2 linked regions of the Neurospora crassa OR74A genome follow. The protein of the gene in region 1 purifies or fractionates together with the protein of each later gene. This does not show direct contact. Links are inferred from orthologs where the notes say so. Each region holds a gene or a part of one and is shown on either strand. Other genes may lie near its edges.

Region 1 (6,754 bases):
GGGGGGGGCCTCCCTTGGGCCTCTCTTCCTGTTCTGGCTGTAAAAATGGAAGGTAGCACACTACTGCCAGAACTGTAATAGTGCACAACGTAGAGGTATGGAAGGTGCCCGGCGGGGGCAAGGGTACTTCTACCCCCTGGAGGTAGACACCCAGCGGGCAGGCAGGCGCTGTAGTCACCTGGTATTGAAGCACTCTGCAGCAGCGCTGGTTCTTCAAGGCCATTTTTATGGAGACGGGACGGGAGCGCTGTTCGCCGAGATGGAGGCATTGAAAGACCGAGTCTTCACCTCATGGATCTTTGCATATTTATCGATCGAGAATTCACCAGCTAATCGTTCCATTCACGTCGAAACAGAAAACCGGAAAATGAAGGGTGCATATAGCCAAACTCCCGTCTCTCAAGTTGTTCATTGCATGCATAAATGACTAACGTGGCACATGCAGCAATTCTCCAGCGCGTGCTCTCAGCCTCTGTCACGGTCGACAACCAATTGGTTTCCTCTATTGGCCAAGGCATTCTCGTTTTGGCGGCTGTTGCTCCCGGCGACACGGTAAAGGAGGCTGAGGCTTTGGCATCCAAAGTAATCAAGTTGAAGCTGTGGGATGATGAATCAGGAGGCCGGGTACGACACTTGCTCACACAATACGCATGGACTGAGGGAACTATTTCTAACGGCCGGCAAATCACAGTGGAAGAAGAATGTCCAAGACATCGGCGGCGAGGTATTGTGTGGTGGGTGATATCTTGCCGGGTTGGCCAGACTCTCACTGCAAGACTAACATGATGTAGTCTCTCAGTTCACCTTGCTTGCTTCCACCAAGAAGGGCAGCAAGCCCGACTTCCACGGAGCCCTAGGCCCCGATGAGGCCAAGACCTTGTATGACCTGTTTTACAAGAAGGTTCAGGAAGGCTATAAAGCAGAAAAGGTTAAAAACGGTGTTTTCCAGGCTATGATGCAGGTTGCCCTGGTTAATGATGGACCGGTGAGCAATCCAACACTGCACTAGTACGCCAAGGGCCGTATTAACTTGACAGTAGGTCACCCTCGAGGTATCGGCCACGCCGGCAGCGCAGCAGCAGCAGCAGCAGCAGAAGAAGAAGAAGAAGGAAGACCAAAAGCTTAACCAGAAGCAGCAAAAGCAGCCACAACAAGGGGCCGTGGAAGACGACCAAGCGACGGCAGACAAGGTGCCTGGCTTGACTAATCAAGTCTAGGTGATAGAGTGGTTGAGGATTGCGAGATGGACCTAAGAAGGGTCGATGTAATTGCCAAATGTAGAGCCGGAAAAGATGATCTGCTAGACGTAGAGTTTAGACTAGAGGTTGATAGTTGGGTTGTAAAAGTGTGCTCGGACCAGTGTACTTGCCGCATGTCGCTGTTCTTCTTCGATGCCACAGCCCACAAGAGATGTAGAGGTACCCTTCCCGCTCTAATCTCTACACTGCGGCATCTGCCTTTACACTACATGGTGTCGGGTATGGACCCCTACGGGTTGCATCTTGAAGATACTACTGGTGGAGCCTCGGCTGCTTTAGCCGCTGCCGCTGCAAGTAAAGTACCTACTCCGTACTTGTATGCCTTGGCGAGTGGAATCAGGTATCTTTGGGTACAAAGTGGATATCAGACGAGAAGAGGGAAATGGGACGGGAGCTAAAGCACATCGCTGCCCCACCATTCTCGAATGTTCACGAAACCAATTCACCCCGCCCTGCACCCAGCTTGTTGAACCCTGAGACGAAATCATCACCGAAAGCGACTCCCATACTTTGTATTTCAACCAGTCTACCAGACGCCCTTTCTCTGTGCAGTCTTGTTCGCAACGTGCAGTTGTACTATATATTGTCCGCCTATAAACCCATTTCCTCCGTCATAGTCAGAATAGTAGCTGGTTCGGACAGGTAAGTAAGCTTCTATTTGCGCTCGCTCTGTGGACATCACGACTCCCAAATTGTTTGCCATCTTCCCTCCCTGTTTACGATTTGTGCCATGGACAAACAATTTCCTTCCACCGTAGTTGTCTGAGCTATATATGCTAACTGAGCTCGTTTAGTTTACGTACAGCTTAGACTCGTAGCAAGATCTCTTGAAATACTGATTCCTAGATTCAAGCCAACCATGTCTTCTACCGACGACGTCAAGCAGGCTCGCAGCCGCGTCTTTTTCGACATCACCATCGGCGGGAAGGCAGCCGGCCGTATTGTTTTCGAGCTTTACAATGACATTGTCCCTAAGACGGCCGAGAACTTCCGCGCTTTGTGCACCGGCGAGAAGGGTGTTGGCAAGTTGGGCAAGCCGCTACACTACAAGGGTTCCACGTTCCACCGTGTCATCAAGCAGTTCATGATCCAGGGTGGTGACTTCACCGCTGGAAACGGCACTGGTGGCGAGTCCATCTACGGCGCAAAGTTCGAGGACGAAAATTTCCAGTTGAAGCACGACCGTCCATTCCTCCTGTCCATGGCCAACGCTGGACCCGGTATGTTGCGATGTCGTTTAACTGACGGCCATCACTTTGCGGTTCCGGTCTTTTACTGACGCTTATGTCCTGCAGGTACCAACGGCTCTCAGTTCTTCGTCACCACCGTTCCTACCCCACATCTCGATGGCAAACACGTCGTCTTTGGCGAGGTGCTGAGCGGCAAGTCAGTCGTCAGACAAATTGAGAACCTGAAAACTCAGGGCGACAAGCCGACCAAGGACGCCGTCATTGCCGACTGCGGCGAGCTTAGTGGCGACGCTGCTGTGAGCGCTGACACAAAGACTGCCGACGCCTACGGCGACGAATACGAGGACTTCCCCGAAGACGAAGCCACTGACGGCCAGCCTCTCTCTGCCTCCAAGATCCTCAAGATTGCGACAGACTGCAAGGACTTTGGTAACAAGGCTTTCAAGGCCGGCGACCTCCCTGTGGCCCTCGACAAATACCAGAAGGGTCTGCGCTATCTGAACGAGGATCCCGAGCTTGACAATGAGCCGGCTGACACAAAGCAAAAGCTGGACGCCCTGCGCGTCTCGCTGAACAGCAACGCGGCTCTCATGAACATGAAGCTGAGCGCTTGGGACGAGTGCATTCGCAGCGCCGACGGCGCACTTGCTGTTGCCACTATCTCAGACAAGGACAGGGCCAAGGCTCTATACCGTAGGGGTTACGCCCAGGTGCGCATCAAGGACGAGGACAGCGCCCTGACGAGTCTGGAGGAGGCCAAGAAGCTAGCGCCTGAAGATGGCGCCATTGTTAACGAGCTGGCCGCTGTCAAGAAGGCTGCCGCGGCTAGAATGGCGAAGGAAAAGGCTGCCTACAAAAAGTTCTTCTCCTGATCAAGTTGAGGCAATGGCGACTTGAAATTATTTCGAACGTTTGTGTGTGGTTGAAGTGCTCCTCGGGTTAGAGGGTATCTACAAAAGGAGTTATCGGCATTGAGCGGGTTGGCACCAAGGTCCAATTACATACAACACCTAATGATATCCACATTGGCGTTTGGGGAGTTCAAGCTGTGTCAAGGCTGGAACATGGACTCTTGAAGGCAGTGTGTTTCGAGCAGTCACCAGAGTCTTCACAGCCTCACGGAATAGAATGTTTTTTTAGGCCACTTCGCCGCTTTTGTAGGCACAGCAGTTTTCCTCCGTGACGCATCCCCAGCAACAGCAGAAAACCTCGACCCCTCGGATTCAGATCTGGAGGCATAGGTACGGATTCGGCGGTTGGTGCTGCCGGATAGTCCGCCATGTCAATAGCCAGCATGCCCTCAGAGAATGGGCCATAACCATCATGATCGTTGCTAAAGACAATAATCAAACAGCTAAACAAGAATTATTTGCGGAAGAATAGAGAAAAGAATGAGCGCTCAGTCTGATACCCTGTCTGAAGACTCGCATTCCATATCGTAGGCATAATCGTCAATGTACGTCCCTTTGTACGGGAGCCGTTGCCCCCATTCTCAGACCAGGGTTTCCAAAGCCTTCCAAAGCGAGCATGTGCCAACAACCATTGGTGCCTCTAAATCAAGTCATTTCAAATTCCCTTCTCGTGCCAGTGTTGGTGAGCCGTGTGATGGCGATCCCCTTGGGATTTACTTGAAGACGCCCTGGCGTCTTTGCCTGGATGCTTTTCTTTACTGTCTTTCTCTCGTTCCGCGCCTCGGTCCCGCTCTCGGCCATTCTCTTTACCTGCAGCAGTGGCAGATGCCGATGCAACTGCCGACGTACTGCCTGCTTCAGGCACCATTGTCCCCGTGATGAACCCGTGACCAGGACTACCTCCGTTGCCAAACTCGGGTGAAGCCGTTCTTGTCTTGCGAATAAATCCTGTAAGGAACTTTCGTGGTGCCTGCATTCCATTGCGCAGCCCCTTCACACTTCCGCCCGACATGGACGACAGCTGCTCGCTGCTCTTAGAACCTTGCCGTATAGCGCTCGAGGCGTTCCTTATGTCCCTGCTGCCAATGCTGCTGCTGCTGCCACCTCCCATACCAGGCCCATCCATCTCACTACCTGAGGAGCCGGGCGCTATGCTCCCGCCGTCTATCCAAAAGATCCCAGTAGCGTTGCCGTGCGCAGACAAACCGAGGACATCGCCATAACTCAAGTTGTCCAGTGCATCAGAGAGACGAAGCCGCTCATCCGGTGGCCTGCTGGTAGTTTCACCAGCGCTTCGGCGAGTCTCCATCTGCGAGAAGCAATGCATTGCGCGTTGGTGGAGCGTGGTGCATAGACGATGGAAATGAAGTAGGTCGCCTTCGCAGTTGGAAGAGTCCCAGTCTGACTCGGGATGGACTTTAGCCCACAGTTTGGCTAAAGCCGCAAAGTTACGCGCATGATCGACCAGGTATGGGAGCGAAGGGAAACCCTCGCGAGCTAGAGGTGATAAGCGGCCCAGAATCGTTAGGGGGGTCGAGTAGGGAGCAGGCACGCTGTTGCTGGTACTTTCGGCCGGAATGGCGCACACGGCGTCAGCAAAATCCTTGAATGGCTGGCGCTGTTTTTGGAGAAACTCGGTCATTGGCTCCATCCATGTCTCCTTCTTGCTGGAGATGTTAAGGTTGGCTAGAGCCTGGATGGTCTTGGCGATGAGAGTCAGAGTGCGTTGTGCACGCGGTTTGGGGTGGTCGCGCAAGAGGCCGAAAAGTTTTGGGTTAAGGATAGCTGGGCAGAGGAAGCGGAGGAAGAGAAATCCGGACACCGAAGTATAAACTGCAGTAGCAGTGCGGATAAAGTGGCCATAGCGATCCTCTGCAACAGCCCGTATATATTTCAGTACGTGACGGATCTCCGACGGCAAACGATGCGCGGACGATGCGATACAGCGCCAGACAGCGCTGGTCAGCTCGATTAGCTTCGCCCAATGTTGTTGAATATCATCGCCGTTCTGCATCCTACTCGGGTCAACTTCGCAATCAAGGTCGAGCTCGTTGATTTCACGTATCTTTGCTGCCAGAGTCTCCTCCAGATATTCTTTGCCTAAGCGTCGCATGTAAATTTCAAAGGCCTGTGTCAACAATGAGTTTCCCCTGAACAGCAAGCTCGCCTCGCCCGGGAGCGTCCTGCTCATGTCCTGAACCGTCTGCCACATTTTGTCCGTGGAAGCGATCGAGTCATTTGACATCAGCCGCTGGTTGAACCGCGATTGCTTGCTGGCCGTTTGGCTCCCTATCGCGTCAATTTCTTCCTCTACCAAGGTCACCAGCCACTCTGTTGCCTTTCCAGAAACCTGGAATATATTGACGAATATTTCTGCGAGCTTCCGTAGGTTTCCAGGCATCACGTCAGCTATTTGTGTCGTCAGCCCTGACCCAAAGCGGTGTAGGAGCTCCGAGAGAGGCTGATATTCTCTGGATTGCAACACGACGACCTCTTCATGGTGCACCTTGAGAAGCATTGTTCCAATCGACTGCTGTCGTGCGTCATACACTTGGAGCCACTGCTCATGATCTTTTCCACGCTCCAGAAGATGCAAAGGGATGTCGACAGCACCGCACAACGCCTCGCTCAGCTGGCCTGTTTTGGGCAAGCCAAGAGTGGCCTGAAGCTGGTGACTGAAGCTTTCGGTATTGCCCACGATCCGTTTTAGAACCACCGATAGGTAAGGTAAGGAGGGAGGAAGATCCGTAAATTCGCAATCCTCTCGCCAAAAGGGGTTCTTGGTGTTGAATTTGATTGATGTCCGGCCTCGAACCTCGCCATCCAGTATGACCTCGGCGAAGTAATTACCGACGGCAGGGTCTGGGTCTGCAACACTTTTGTTTTGGCGCTCCATCAGGTTTCCCTCTTGAGCAAATGTTCGACTCCGTAGCCTTGCCTCGGTGACTCTAACCTTGACTGTTTTTTCGACTCTGAAAACTTCTCCTTTGGGCACTGAGCTGAGGTTGGTCACCTCGTATACACGTCCTCGGCTTGTTGAATCGAGCCCGTATAGATCAGGCACCGCAAAGGCTCTGAGAAGGGCGAACCAAGCCTCGAAAAGCAGCCTAGACTCCAATGATATATATACTGGGCGCAAAATTGACAATTGAGTGGATGTAGGGGAGTAGATGGGGAAGATACCTATACAGTAGTTTTCGTTTAGCACTGTCTTGTCCAGCTGCTGTATAGCTGACCTGGACAGCTGAGACAATTCGATCATGGCCAGAAGCGAGACATCGTGCTCTGTCATGAGTTTGAGTTCGCCGTTGTCTGACAGTATGCAAGAAACACGTTTCCAGGCCATGTGCGGTATTTGCAAGTCTCGCGCAGAGGGACGTTTGACAATGGCCCG
Region 2 (6,759 bases), on another chromosome or scaffold:
GAGAACTTGTAGCGGTTCTCGGCAGTGTCAATCATCTCAGGAGAAGTACCCAGAACTCTGACGCCAGCACGAAGAAGGGGCAGAGCAATGTTGTTGGGGGTTTGGCCACCCATAGCTCCCAACACTCCGGTTGCGTCCTCCATCTGATAGACGTCCAGAACGGTCTCCAGGTTGATGTTCTCGAAGTACAGCTTGTCGGCTTCATCATAGTCGGTACTGACGGTCTCAGGGTTGTAGTTCACCATGATGGTCTTGAAGCCAGACTCGCGGAGCGTGCGAATGGCCCGAACGGAACACCAATCAAATTCGACGGAAGAACCAATGCGGTACACACCCGAACCAAGAACCATGACACCACGGTCTTCGAACGAAACATCGTGCTCGCTGGCGTTGTAGGTCAGATACAGGTAGTTGGTGAAGGCAGGGAATTCAGCGGCGACGGTGTCGATCTGCTTGACGAAAGGAGTGATTCCTGCCTCAAGACGCATGCGACGAATAGCTAGCTCGTTGGAATCCCAGAAGTTGGCAAGCTGACGGTCGCAGAAGCCAAGCTGCTTCGCGCGAAGGAGCAGATCAGGACGACCAACAACATCGTTAGCCGTGAGTTTGGTCATGTCCTTGGCGAAATTGCTCAGGCCCTTGAGCTTGGACAAGAACCACTTGTCGATCTTGGTCAATTCCCAGATTCTGTCGACAGTGTAGCCCGCGTGCATGGCGTTGGCAATGGCGAATAGACGCTGGTCAGAGGGGGTCTGGAGCTCGTCGTCGACGGACATGAGCGCACCCTTGGACTCGCTGAAGCCAAGGTTGTGGAAATCGATGGCACGAATAGCCTTCTGGATGGCCTCTTCAAATGTCCTGCCGATGCTCATGACCTCGCCGACACTCTTCATGGAAGAGCCGAGCTGAGTGGAGACGCGGGTGAACTTCTTCAAATCCCAACGAGGCATCTTGACCACAACATAATCCAGAGAAGGCTCGAAGCAAGCGCAGGTCACCTTGGTAACGGTGTTCTTAATCTCCTTCAGAGGAATACCGAGACCCAACTTGGCAGCAATGAAAGCCAAGGGGTATCCGGTAGCCTTGGAAGCCAAGGCCGAGGAACGCGACAATCTGGCATTGACTTCGATAATGCAGTACTCCCTGGAGAAGGGGTTCAGAGCATACTGGATGTTACACTCGCCGACAACTCCAAGATGGCGAATGACGTTGACAGCAGTAGTGCGAAGCATGTTGTAGTCTTCATCGGAAAGCGTCTGGGAAGGCGCGACGACAATGGAATCGCCGGTATGAATGCCAAGAGGATCGAAGTTCTCCATGTTGCACACAGTGATACAGTTGTCCTGGGCGTCACGAACAACCTCGTACTCGATCTCCTTCCAGCCCTTCATACTGCGCTCGACAAGAACCTGGGGACTGGCTGCCAGCGCCTTGTTGCACAGGTCAACGAGCTCAGCTTCGTTGTTGGCGAAGCCACTGCCGAGACCACCAAGAGCGTAGGCTGCACGAACAATAACCGGGTAACCAATGTCCTTGACCGCGTTGAGGGCCTCCTCAACACTGCTGGCCGAAGCGGACTTGGCACACTTCTCACCAATGGACTCCATGCTGCGAGCAAAGAGCTCACGGTCCTCCGTGGTGATGATGGTATCAATGGGGGTACCGAGAACCTTGACACCAAGAGCCTCAAACTCATCCTTGAGCTGGATACCGACCGAGAGAGCGGTTTGGCCACCAAAGGTGCAGTAGATGGCATCGGGCTGTTCGTACTTGATAACTTTCCGGACGAACTCGGCGTTTACTGGCAAGAAGTAGACCTTGTCGGCCAAGCCCTTGGAGGTCTGAATGGTGGCAATGTTGGGGTTGATGAGGACAGTGTAGATACCTTCTTCCTTCAAAGCCTTGATGGCCTGAGATCCCGAGTAGTCGAATTCACCAGCCTGACCGATGCTGAGACCACCACTGCCCAAGACGAGGACCTTCTTGACATCGACACGGGGGTGGAGTCTCTCATTCTCCTCAGTGGTTCCACCGGGGAATTCGACACCCTTCTGGAGGAGAGTGTTATCGGTAGTGCACTTGGCAACAGTCTGAATGAAGACATCAAAGAGGAACTCGGTGTCGCGGGGGCCGGGGGTGCTCTCAGGGTGGAACTGGACACTGAAGTGGGGGCGGTCGACGTGCATGATACCCTCGTTGCTGCCATCATTGGCGTTGATGAACAGCTCCTGCCATCCGGTGGGGAGAGTGGTAGCGTCAACAGCATAACCGTGGTTCTGCGAGGTGATATGGCACTTTCCGGTGACCATGCTGGTGCAAGGAATGTTGTGGCCACGGTTACCGAACTTGAGCTTGACCGTCTTGGCACCGGCAGCACGAGCGAGCAGCTGGTGACCCAAGCAGATACCGAAGATGGGTGTGTTGTTCTTCTGCAGGGCGGCAGAGATGTGCTCGACAGTGGTGTCCATGACCTTCGGGTCACCAGGACCGTTGGAGATGAACAGACCATCATATTCTTCCTTTGAGAAATCGTAGTCCCATGGGCAAACGAGGACTTCGACACCGCGCTTGATGAAGCACCTGAGTTGGTTGTACTTCATGCCGACATCGAGGCAGAGAATACGAAGGTTGCGACCCGAGGGGTGCTTGAGGGCAGTGGCCTCATCGGGCTTGTAGAGCTTGGGCTCCTTGATCGAGACTGAAAGTAGCGTGTTAGAAATGGCCTGTCCATCTTAGCGGAGGGCAAATGTTGCTTACCTTCGGCAACGAGGTTCTTCTCGTTGGGGTTAACCCATTCGATAGTCTCGAAGTGAGGCTTCCAGTCGCCAGGAACTCCGAGAGAAGGAGCGCTGACAGCCAAGTCTTCCTTCTGGAGGAGCATGCGACCAAGCATGCTACCCTTCTCGCGGATGCGCTTGGTGAGGGCGCGGGTATCGACACCGTACATGGCAGGGATGCCCTGCTCCTTGAGCCATGTTCCAAGGGACGAGGTGGCGAGGAAGTGCGAGAAGTCTTCGCCAGCATAAGAGGCGGTAACGAGACCGGCAATGTGAATCTGGTTGGACTCGAAGTGGGCGGGGAGATCCTTAAGCAGATCATCGACGGTCTCCCGCGAGGGGACGCCATAGTTTCCAACAAGAGGGAAGGTAATGACGAGAATCTGACCGCGGTACGAAGGATCGGTCACGGACTCAGGGTAGCCGACCATGCCGGTCTGGAAGACAAGCTCGCCGGCAATGCTCTTGGGCGCACCAAAGCTGTAGCCTTGGTAGGCAGAGCCATCCTCAAGCTCCAGGCAAACAAGGCCTTCGCAAGGCGCATCGGCGATGGGGGCCGTGGCGGGGCGGTAGACGGTGGCAGCCATGATGGAAACAGGTGAACTTTTAGAGTATAAACAAAAAAGAGAGAAAAATGACTATGGTAAGAAGGGTATAGTGGAAAAGAAAAGAGTAGTGAAAAAGCGGCACAGAATCGAGAATGGAAGACGGTGGTTGAGAGGACGTCAAAGATGGTGAGAGCTTCGTCAAGAAGAGCTCAGGAGCTGATTCGTTTTCGTTGGGGGATGAACAGCGAGAAACGGGCAAGGTTATGTTGGTGAATGTGTATGTTTCAGCTGGATATCCTCACTATCCAAGCTCGATATGGCCTCTGCTTGATAGCAAGAGGAAGAGAGAGAGGAGAGGAGAGGAAGAGAAAGGATCCCAGGACTCGACCACGGGGTAAATATTTTTTTTTTTTGTCTTGTTTCGGCAGCCTCGAGGAGCCCCGCCAGTCCGTCAGCCCGCCACGCTGTGCCCGTAATTGGGTTGGGGACAGACGGCCTGGGCGACGGAGCGAGGCGAGTGGGATTCAGAAAAGTTTTCCGTTATTCACGCCATTGTCCAATGCCGTCTTCGGTGGCTCGTGAGAACCTGGAGGGGCGGGTCCAGCGGGAGTTGGCAGGGCCGGCAGCGCCGCAGGACCGCGCGGGCGACACCTGCACATCCGGCAGGCAAAGATTTAGCGCGGGGCAGCGGGGGTCCCCTGAACACTGAACGACCGTCTTGGAGGGGGCCCCAGACGATTCAAGCTTGCATCGCCTGCCAAGTTCGTCTAGAGCCAAAGCCGAAAACCAATGATATTACAGGTGAAGAGAATTAAGTGGGGGGGTTTGTCAAAGACCCTGTACCGTGGGTCGCCCAGGACAAAATCTTGATGACACCCGGACCCGGGTTCAGATTTTGACCTTGGACCCGGCGAAAGGCTGAGCGGCTTAAACGTACACTAAAAGACACCATGACTATACGTACTGCATAGTAGATGCGTTGAGCCGATACCACAAAGACTACACAACTGCATAGACAATGAAGGCGCCGTCGCTGAGCATTCAATACAATGAAAGTTCCTGATTTGCGTGGTGTAAGACTGAGTTTGGTGGTGTTTTGGGTGCTGGACTCAGGTGTCATCAATCTTGTCGTGTGCGACCGTGGGTACCATCACCACCACAAAAATCCATGTCAACAAGTGCTGTCCCCTGTCACCAATCCGGGGCCCGTCCGTCCAGGTGTCCGGCATTTTCGCCGTCCCTATTTTGTCACTGCCGATCGGTCGTCTTCGACTACGTACCATCATTATTAGGACCGATGCGATGCCGTGAGGCCCGTGACGGCAGGAGAGGACCGGCAGAGTTGCAGCATGTTGTCACAATCACCATCCGATGTTCGATGTTGATATGTTCGCTAAAATTTCAGCATTGGCAGAAACCATCTTTTTTGCTTGCCCTACATGATACATATGCAGTGTACGCAGTATGCATCTGGTTGTCCTCGCCAAAATCGTGATGGGGTAAACTCCACCTCTGCAGGGATAGAAATGGTTAGCTCGGTTCTTGCGAGTGGCAAAGAACCTTAATTTTTTGCACAGGAAATGGCTCTCCTACCGTCTGCCTGCTCCCTGTTTCTTGTTCGATCGTCGTACCAAGCTAACCTTTTGTATCCCTACAGAAGAGGTGAACAAAATGGGCTTCTGCTGATCGAAGCGAGGTTTTCCTCTTACGTACGCCAACCAGCCATCTGTGGGGTGATGGAGCAGCGGTATCGCTTGCTCTTTGGGGCTCGTCAGAGTCATCGTTCGCATCGGGTCCGGTTGTCGGGATCTTAACACCGATCTCAACCGTCCCGTAGCCCTCACTTCCCTCACGGGCCGAAGTCTTCTGGCGGCGGGCGCTCACCATAGCCCACGCAGTGCGTGTTGGTGTCAGTTGCTGACTGTATATCGAGACTTGAGAGCTTCATGTACCTCTGTGTTTGCAATATAACGGGACGTACACTGTGAGGAAACGGATAAGCAACTGGGTTGATGGAGTCAAGTCTCCGAGTCATACAGCATGCCAAAGGATTTGCAAGAGTGCGGAATTCCAAAGATCATGTTCCGCTCCAAGTATGTTGAGTTTGTGCTTCGGGTCTTGGCCGGTGCCATCATCTCACTGTATGCACCACCACCCGGAAAGTCCGCCAGGGAAAATGGGCCATCCGGCTCGGAGTGGGTCTTGTTTTCGCCGGGTAAGGACCGGTCTGCTCGGGATTGTAAGCTCTTACAAGTACTGGTAACCCTGTAATTAGCGATCAGAGGTATAACGATATTCTGTCTATAACGTTCAGATTATGGGGAACAGTGCAGATTTGTATGGCGATAATATGGTAATAACGATTAACCTCTAATTTACGATTTAAATTAAGATTATTGCTGACTAATACACTAAAATCGTTATTTTTACAACCGTCTGATAGCTCCCGCCAGCTCCCAACACCTACTAATAGGAGTGTTAACCCCTTAATAGCCGATACGTTTTACCCTCTGGAAGCTAGTACTGGTTAGTATACTCCGCCCAGCCGTTTCGTCCCTCTTGTTAATTTACTTAAATTACTATATTTTGAAGTTATTTGTTTACTCTTACGATTAGAAACGAGCCCTCTTTTATGTTAGATTTCGAGATTAATATTATGCTTATTTAAAGAAACTATTGTTGTTACCCTATTAACGAGCTTCAACGTCAAAAGATTCGTGTGTTTATTTACGATAATCCTAAATATACTTAACGCGAGGTTGTTGTATGGGTTACTAAAGAATTAGGCTACCTTGTTAGTTAGTCTACTATATCCGAATTTCTGAAGCTTAAGTTCGCTTATTTGGATAAGAAGGCGTTTATAAGGGGCGTTACTAGTATTTTTAAAGTTTATTTAGCGGACTTCCCTATCCTCGAGAAGGTTCTATTCGAGTGGGTTATTCGAATAGAGAATAACTAACTTCCTATCTCCGGCGATATAATTAAAGAAGCGGCTAAGTCTCTATAGTTTAAGATACCTAACTTCCGGCTCCTTATTGTACCCTCTTTCTCTAACGGTTAGTTTAATGGATTTAAACGCCGCTATTATATTAAGAAGTATAAGTAGTCCGGTAAAGGTAGATCGATTGATATTGTGGGGTCCTAAGAGAGGATTGAGGAGATTAAGAAGCTAGTTGAATAGTATAGTTCTAATAATACGTATAATATTAACGAGATTGCTCTTTTTTAGTTAATGATTCCTAATGTTATATTGGTTATTAAATTATAAGTAGGATTAAAAAAAAAGAAGGAGAGAATTACTATACTCCCCTATGTTAATATAATGGGTATATATAAGTTCGATCTATAGGTTCTAGGTAATGTAAAGAACCTTCGTTTATTCGGTAAAGATGGAAGGTTTATTAATAATCTCCCTATTGTATAGTAGAGTAATA

Evidence for each region.
Region 2: the proteins of NCU03853 (region 1) and pyr-3 purify together in Saccharomyces cerevisiae (affinity purification with mass spectrometry; 5 studies listed by BioGRID, with this or other methods). This does not show direct contact. The link is inferred for Neurospora crassa OR74A from reciprocal best matches to the Saccharomyces cerevisiae genes CPR6 and URA2.

The regions. Positions count from the first base shown.
Region 1 is NC_026506.1:1,890,119-1,896,872, reverse strand, and holds NCU03853 (peptidyl-prolyl cis-trans isomerase), read left to right. Parts: upstream 1-1,674; 5' UTR 1,675-1,901; intron 1,902-2,053; 5' UTR 2,054-2,118; coding exon 2,119-2,479; intron 2,480-2,554; coding exon 2,555-3,321; 3' UTR 3,322-4,015; downstream 4,016-6,754. Other genes in the region: NCU03854 (D-tyrosyl-tRNA(Tyr) deacylase), read left to right, coding at 260-374, 446-624, 692-734, 792-985, 1,041-1,217; NCU03852 (GTPase activating protein), read right to left, coding at 4,016-6,754. UniProt on the Saccharomyces cerevisiae protein: PPIases accelerate the folding of proteins. It catalyzes the cis-trans isomerization of proline imidic peptide bonds in oligopeptides.
Region 2 is NC_026504.1:2,539,510-2,546,268, forward strand, and holds the start of pyr-3 (pyrABCN), read right to left. Parts: upstream 3,864-6,759; 5' UTR 3,365-3,863; coding exon 2,758-3,364; intron 2,699-2,757; coding exon 1-2,698. UniProt on the Saccharomyces cerevisiae protein: Multifunctional protein that encodes the first 2 enzymatic activities of the de novo pyrimidine pathway: carbamoylphosphate synthetase (CPSase; EC 6.3.5.5) and aspartate transcarbamylase (ATCase; EC 2.1.3.2).